Linked DNA regions of Rattus norvegicus. The main gene of each other region encodes a partner of the protein of the gene in region 2 in a complex. Links are inferred from orthologs where the notes say so. Each region holds a gene or a part of one and is shown on either strand. Other genes may lie near its edges.

The links. Proteins that work in one complex are often made in the same cells at the same time.
Region 1: Cyfip1 (region 2) and Abi1 share a complex: the UniProt entries of both Homo sapiens proteins name them as parts of the WAVE2 complex. The link is inferred for Rattus norvegicus from reciprocal best matches to the Homo sapiens genes CYFIP1 and ABI1.

The regions. Positions count from the first base shown.
Region 1 is NC_086035.1:90,084,827-90,089,020, reverse strand, and holds the start of Abi1 (abl interactor 1), read left to right. Parts: upstream 1-1,193; 5' UTR 1,194-1,257; coding exon 1,258-1,374; intron 1,375-4,194. UniProt on the Homo sapiens protein: May act in negative regulation of cell growth and transformation by interacting with nonreceptor tyrosine kinases ABL1 and/or ABL2. May play a role in regulation of EGF-induced Erk pathway activation. Involved in cytoskeletal reorganization and EGFR signaling.
Region 2 is NC_086019.1:115,916,320-115,919,819, forward strand, and holds part of Cyfip1 (cytoplasmic FMR1-interacting protein 1), read left to right. Parts: intron 1-163; coding exon 164-363; intron 364-3,500. UniProt on the Homo sapiens protein: Component of the CYFIP1-EIF4E-FMR1 complex which binds to the mRNA cap and mediates translational repression. In the CYFIP1-EIF4E-FMR1 complex this subunit is an adapter between EIF4E and FMR1.

The sequences.
Region 1 (4,194 bases), on a different chromosome or scaffold from region 2:
GAAGGCATGAGAAAAGAAATTAGAAGAGGAAAGTTCTGAAATTATATATTTAAAAATGTACACACACACACACACACACACACACACACACACACACACACAGAGAGAGAGAGAGAGAGAGAGAGAGCGCTAGTCTTTTGCCATGGAGTAGTGTGGCAGTCAGAGGGAAAACTGTAGGAGTCTGCTGTTTTGGTCTCCCGCCATATGAGTTCTGGGGTTTGAATTGAGAAAGCACCTTTATCTGCTGAGTCATATTGGCAGCCCTAAAATTGTCTATTTTAAATGTTAACATCCTCGCATTTGTCCATCCTTCATTCTCTGTCTTAGACATGATCACCCTTTATAACCCAGACTGTTTTTCAGTTCATTGTCAGTTTCCCGAGTGCTGGGATAATGGATGTGCAGCCACTCTTCATTAATTTTTTTCCCTGTCCTGAAATTCGGTTTTAAATCAGGCCGGCCTTGAACTCAAGTAGATCCATCGCCTCTGCTAGCCATAGACGTTTGCGACCACGCCCAGCTTTCTTTAAATTCTTTTTTAAAAAAGGATTTATTTATTTACTTTCTTTAAATTCTTAAGCGTGAAAACTATCCTTGCCCCATTTGTTTCTGCCATAGCAAGCACACTGCTTGATGTACATCTGAGAATTGATAGTTTTCTAGGTTTTAAATGAATTGGGGCATAAGTTGAGGCAAAGTCTCTCACAAAACTGAGGAAGTCAGGTCTCGCAGTTTCTGTTTTTAATTGTTATCTGATTGGATGCCTTTGACTTACTGACATTTCCTAATTAAGTAAGTTCTGCAAATTTTCAAAGTTTTCTCATAGGAATAATTTCGCTGCTTAGATCACCTTGTGGCGCCATCTTCTGGGATCTTGAGAAGAGTCTAGATTTAAGACTGTATAGGTCTTGGTTCTTTAAATTCTTTTCAGGATTTTTGGAAGCACCTTAAACGCATGCGCGGCCTAGCCAGGAAGAAACTACAATTCCCAGAAAGGATTGCTATAGAGGGCGTGGTGGAAACTCTCGTTGTAAGAGGGAAATGATTCTCGCGAGAAAGTGAGTCTATGGTGGCTGTGCGTCCTGGGTGGAGGGGGGCGGGGAGAGTAAAGAGGAAGAGGAGGAGGTGCAGTCCCACAATACCCGGCGGAGGGCGGGTGGGTGGTTAGTGTCTGATCTCTGCGGCGCTTCGGTCCCCGTCGGACTCAGCTGCCTCTGTCTCTTTAACGCGAGAGGAAGCGATGCGGAGGGGTGGAAAATGGCAGAGCTGCAGATGTTACTAGAGGAGGAGATCCCGTCTGGCAAGAGGGCGCTGATAGAGAGTTACCAGAACCTGACCCGGGTGGCGGACTACTGTGAAAACAACTACATACAGGTGAGGCGCTTGGGCGGCCGGCGAGGACCGCTGGGGCGACGGGCAGGCTGGGTGCGGTGGGAGCTGCCCCACTCCGCCACCCTCCGCCCTGGCCCGAGCAGCCGCAGCCGCGGCGATACAGGAAGTGGCCGCCGCGAGAAAATGGGTGAGGAGCAGGGCCGCCCCGGGCGCCGCCGGCCCTGAAGCCGCTCCCCGCGTGCCCAGCCGGCTGCGCTCCCGGCAGCCTGCCCCGGACCGGCGGCGTTCCCCGCCGCCTGCCCGTGCAGTCGCTCCCCAAAGCCTATCCTGGCCGAGCTCTGCTTCTCTCAGCCTGCCCGGCCCAGCTCTGCTCCCCACCACCTGCCCTGGCTGAGGTTTGCGCCTAGACCCCGGCGGCTTTCCCAGGCCGGGTCGTGCTCCCGGCAGTCTTTCCTCCGGGGCTCCACTCGCTGCAGTCTTCTCTTGGTCGGGCTGTACTCCTCGTTGCCTCTTTTGGCTACTGTTGGTCCTAAGACCCCCCTCAGCCTTCCCTGGCCGGGATCGGCCCTGGCTGAAGTCCTCCTGGAAATCCCGTAGCCTCCCTTGGTCGCTTTGGACCCCAGAATTCTCTGTCGCCCCTGAGCCCAGTGTGATGAGATCCGGACAGCTGCGTGAGGAATGGGCAGGGAAGGAAAAGCGGGGTGTGTGTCGTTGGAGGGTTGGGTGGGGTGGGGGTGATTATGTCAGTTCATCCTAGAGGGTGTGCCTTTTATTTATTTAAAAAAATTGTCACGAGTCACGTTTGTACAGTGCGGGGAGTGATTGCTGAGGGTTTGATAAAATTCATCTTAAAATTCTTTTAATTGGAGGAAATCTGCGTACTTGGCGATTTTCAAGTCCGGCTTTTCCTCATATTTACTTCTGCTTCAGGATAATGTATACTGGTTATTATAAAGCACGAATGATTCATAGGGAAATTCAGTGGGAAATGTCTTAAATACTTCTCTTCCTCCAAATGTTCTTGGACTGTTGCCTTTGAACGCAGTAGTGTCATCGTTGCTTATGTTCTGAGATTTCTATCATGAGTTAATATTTAGAAGAGTATGAATAAAGTAGGTTGGCAAGCATTATTTAATCTTTGGGTCATAACGTAAAATTGCTTCTTAATTTATCAGGAAATTCTTGGCACTTTTACTATGCTATGCGTGCTTATGTTTAGTAGCGATTGTAAGTGAATTGTATGCAGTGGTTTGGCTTGTAGTTCCTGTCGTTGTGTAAAAACTAACAGTTTGCAGTAGAAGCAAATGAAGTAGTGGAATTCTTTGTATCAGATACTGAGACTAGAAGCTCACTTCCTGTTGACAAGGCAAAACCTGAAATCTTTGAAAAGTTAGGGTTATTGTACTTGAGACCTGAAGGATTTCTGAACGTGCCTTGCGAGTGTGCAAGGGCCTTCTGTGCTTGGGGATGCCTGTACACTTCGTTTTCAGAGGGAGATGCTGTTTTGAGGCTTAAGTATTTGCCACTTTCCATATTAGTAACATTCTGTCTGGAGTGGTGTGCCAAGGAATTTGTCTTCATGCCTTCTTTTCCAGCCTTTGACTCTGGTAATCTGCTGATAAACTTATTGAATGCCTCCTGTGTCTTCTGTATGACTTGTTTCTGAAAACTATATATGAAGCTGGTTAAAAACACATTTTAGGGCTGGGGATTTAGCTCAGTGGTAGAGCGCTTACCTTGGAAGCGCAAGGCCCTGGGTTCGGTCCCCAGCTCCGAAAAAAAGAACCAAAAAAAAAAAAAAAAAAAAACAAAACACATTTTAAGGAGCAGAAAGGGTGCCTTGACAACTGTTAAGAGCAGTTGGTGCTTTTGCAGAGGACTCGATCGAGTTCAATTCCCAGCACCCTCATGTTGGTTCACAACCATCCTTAACTACGGACCAGGGGATCCACTGCTTCTTCTGACACCTTTGGGCTTCAAACACACGTTCAGCATACATACAGACACACAAGCACACACATATACACATGTAGGCAAAGATACTCAAAAGTAAAATAAGTCTAATATGTTAAATCCTTTAAAAAATGGTACAGAAATATGGATATAGTGTGGAAATAGAAAAGTGATCTTGTATTTTATAGATACTAAAAAATGTACAACTTTGGGCTGGAGGGATGGCTCAGTGGTTAAGAGCACTGACTGCTCTTCCAGAGGTCCTGAGTTCAATTCCCAGCAACCACGTGGTGGCTCACAACCATCTGTAGTGGGATCCAGTGTCCTCTTCTGGTGTGTCTGAAGACAGCGACAGTGTACTCACATGCATGAAATCAATCAATCAATCAATCAATCTTTTTAAAAATGTACAACTTTTATTTATTTTAGTGTGAAAAGCCTTGAGTTTGTTGCATCTTTGGTTCCCATCCCTGAATGAGGCCGCTTACAACCACCTGTAACTCCAGCTTCAGGGGATCTAACACCTTCTGGACTACCTGAGGACCTGCAGGAGTTCATAGACACATCTACACATAAAAAGTGAACAGACACACAATTTAGAGCAACCCACTTTAATTGGTAATAGTGCTGATTAGGATAAGGAGTTGTGTCATTTCTTTTTCTTTGTTTATAATGTTTGTGTGTGTTTTCAGTTTTAATATATGTGCTGCCGAAGTGAGCTGTGTGTGTTTTCAGACACAGTCTCATTCTAGAGCAGGCTGCTGGATTCTCCATCCTGTCAGAAGTGTAGCTGCCGTACTCAACTGACGGGGGAGAGCTTTTTGGGGGTGGGGAACAGGGTCTCATGCCACCTTGGCTGTTCTGGATCTTGTTATATAGACCAAGCTAGGTGACAGAGATTCCCCTTCT
Region 2 (3,500 bases):
TCTTGTTGGCTACCTCATTGCAGCCTCTACTGTTTGTATCTCCCCACGTGCTAGTCCTCCTAGGGACCACATAGCCTAGGTGGAGATTGCAGTCTTCAGGTAAATACCTCCTTCCTGGATGGCCCATCTCCCCTCTCATATCCTTGTCCCTATGATCCTGTAGGAGCTAGATGGGCTCTTAGAAATCAACCGTATGACGCACAAGCTGCTGAGTAGGTACCTCACACTAGACAGCTTTGATGCCATGTTCCGGGAAGCCAACCACAACGTGTCTGCACCTTATGGAAGAATCACCCTCCATGTCTTCTGGGAGCTAAACTATGACTTCTTGCCCAACTACTGCTATAATGGCTCCACCAACCGGTAAGCATGCCATTAGCGTCACAGACATGTTTGGATATCCTGGTTCAGTTGCATCTACAGCCGGTGATCTTCAGCCCTGACCATCTGCATACTTCCCCCTTTAACTCTGCCCTCTTTTTCCTCCATGATTCTCATGTTCTGGTCTCTCTCAGGCCTTCCTTGTTTCTTCCGTTTACAAGGCTAGCCCTGGGCCAGCACTTGGGCAGATGGTCATCGCTTTACCTGTAGAAATAGAATACTGGCAGAAGGCCAGCACTTGAGGCAGGAGAGCCAAGGTTCTGCCAACACACTTAGTTGTCACTATAGACAGAATCTCCTGTGCCATGGAATGGCTGCTGGAACTGTACTGCCTACTTTAAGTCTCCCTTATGGCAGAATGTGGCAGGCGATTCTACTTTTCAGGTTTCTATCTGAAGTGTTGAGGGTCAAAGTGAGAGTGTGGTAATGTCTTTCTTCCCACTTACCATCTTGCTGTTGTGTTAATGAGAGTAAAGTCTGGTGGTAGAGTGGTTGAATGGTAACCTTACACCGGTCATCAGAGTAGAATCTCCTCAGGGCCAGAGTGGTCTGTTTGTGAGATCACCAGGAACAGGGTATTCTCTTAAGATGATAGGTTCCACCACTGGTCAAGTTGACTTCTGTGTCTGATTAAGGTTGTTGCTCCCAAGTTTCTCCACTGTCTAGTCACTACTTTTCTGTTTAAATTTTGTAAGTAATGTGTAGCTGAGTAAGTAACTCAACTGAGACTACGTAATAGCCATACTTTGTTGGCATCTAACCCACTAGTGTCGGCATCTGTGACAAATGCTTACCTTGCTCTTATTTGTCCCTGGGTGGTTGCAGAGTGAGTTTCTAATCTCTTCATTCCTCTGAGAATATTAATCAGCATTCTACAAGTGAACATTCTTCTCTTTGGTGATGATTATAAGTATAATCAGGAACTCCATCCTAGCGTTTGTATCTTCAGTTGATTTCTGCAATCAGCACCGAGAGCACCTATTACAGTGGTGTGTGTGTATTCCCACTGTTTTATAAGTACCACTTTATCTTCTACCACAAGATGGAGCGTCTGGGTAATTGGTGTGCTCACCTGTACTAGGATGTCAGTGTTCTAGAGCCATTTGGTGACAACAGTAGGGAGTACTCACAGGCTTGCTGTTTTAGGTTTCTATGGCTGCTGTTAAAAGAGAAGTGTTCTCTTACAGTCCAAAATAAGGTGTCAGCAAACCACACTTCCCCTTTAGACTCTGGGTGGACTCTCTGCTTGCCTCTCGCTAGCTCGTGGAGCAGCTGTCTGTTTCTGACACTCCGTGGCTTGTACCAGTATCATTCCAGGCTTTGCATTTCCCAGGAAACAGTATTCTTCTGAACCTCTCTCCGCCCACCCTCCTTGTAAGGACAACAGCCATATAGATCGGGGCCTTACTCTCAGCTCCTGATCTTATCACCGAGAACATGTGTAATGACCCTGTTTCTATCTCCTGTGCTACAGAGAAGGAGGACTCAGATATCTTTTGGATGGTCACATTTTAACTCGTAGTATTTATGAATACTTGTGTTTTTTTCTTATACAGTTATCTATAAATGAAAACATTCTGATATCTCCAGTTTCATTTCAGTGCCACAATATTCATTTGACTCATCACTCAGTGTTTTTGGACTTCCTCAAAAATGGAAAAGATGCCTTTGCTCATTATGATATTGGCTTGTTCAATTAGACAAAAAGCAAACTACTTTAAGAATTGCTGGTTCTGACTGCTGTGAAACAAACATTCCCACTATAGTTCAGCGTTTGTTTTTGTTATTTTGGCTGTAGATGAAAGTATGCAGGCAATGCTGTGTTAAAGTTTTGTGCATGATGGAGGAACAGTCTATCTTTCTTTAAATAAGAGGACAACTGGACAAAACACATACGTCCCTATTTTCTAATACTAGTCTTCTGCTTAAAGGAAACATGAGAAGTGTCTTTTGACTGTCCTACCTTTCTGTCTAGAAGCACATTCTGAACAAAGAACAGAGGTCAGTTGGTGTAGAGCTTGGGAATCCTGCTTGCAGGAAGAAACACAGTAGAACTTGGAGAAGTTCGCACAGCTGGAATTTATAAAGTTAAATATGGAAGAGGTGGAACTCTCAGAAAAAAAAAAAAAAAAACAGCTCCTGAAACCAGCATGGGCTCCACGGTGTTGGGGAGCTATGGTCAGTAATTCACAGAGCTCGCAGCAGTATGGACCATTTGCTCTCCTTGTCAGCACAAATTTAGAAACTTACTCAGCACCCAGACACTTCATAGATTCAGTAGAAGTCTATTGCCTTCGTAGTAGGTCTTAATTCTAAACTACTTGCCTTTCCATAGAAATACCATAAACATACCATTATCTGCTTGATATGCAGATAAACTTAGCTCCCTGCTGCCTCAAAAATCAGAGACTTAAAAAACAGAAAACAAGACTTAAGAAGATATCTCAGTGTCCAGCATCCAGTCTGGAATTAGGTATGCTCAGTATCTGAAAAAGGTGACCTATAATGAGGAGAAAAATCAGTTCATAAAACACAAGCAACAGAGATGACAGTGCCAATGTGGTCAGAAGGCAAGAGTGTTAGCCATTTTAAGTATTAGTAAAGATTTAAGAAAGTCGAACGTAAGAGAACGTGATGGTTTACATTTGCTTGACCCTGGGAGTGCACTATTAAGGAAGTGTGTCACTGTGGGGTGGGCTCAGAGACCTCCTCCTAGCTGCCTGAGGATGTTCAGTCTGTTCTTGGCTTCTTACGGATGAAGATGTAGAACTCTCAGCTCCTCCTGCACCATACCTGCCTGGATGTTGCCATGCTCCAGCCTTGATGATAATGGACTGAACCTCTGAACCTGTAAGGTAGTCCAAATTAAATAATGTCCTTATAAGAATTGCCTTGGTCATGGTGTCTGTTCACAGCAGTAAAACCCTAACTAAGACAGAGAGATAATGCTTTACAGAAGAGAATGGATTGAATTAATACTGTAAACACAGTACCGGAAGTGAAAATTCCATTTGCTTATTTAAATGTTAGATTCTGTTTTGCAGAAAGCCAGTGAATTTGAATAGCTTCTGCACACTGGCATGATGTTACACGTTCTTATAGTTTGTAACTCTAGTAAG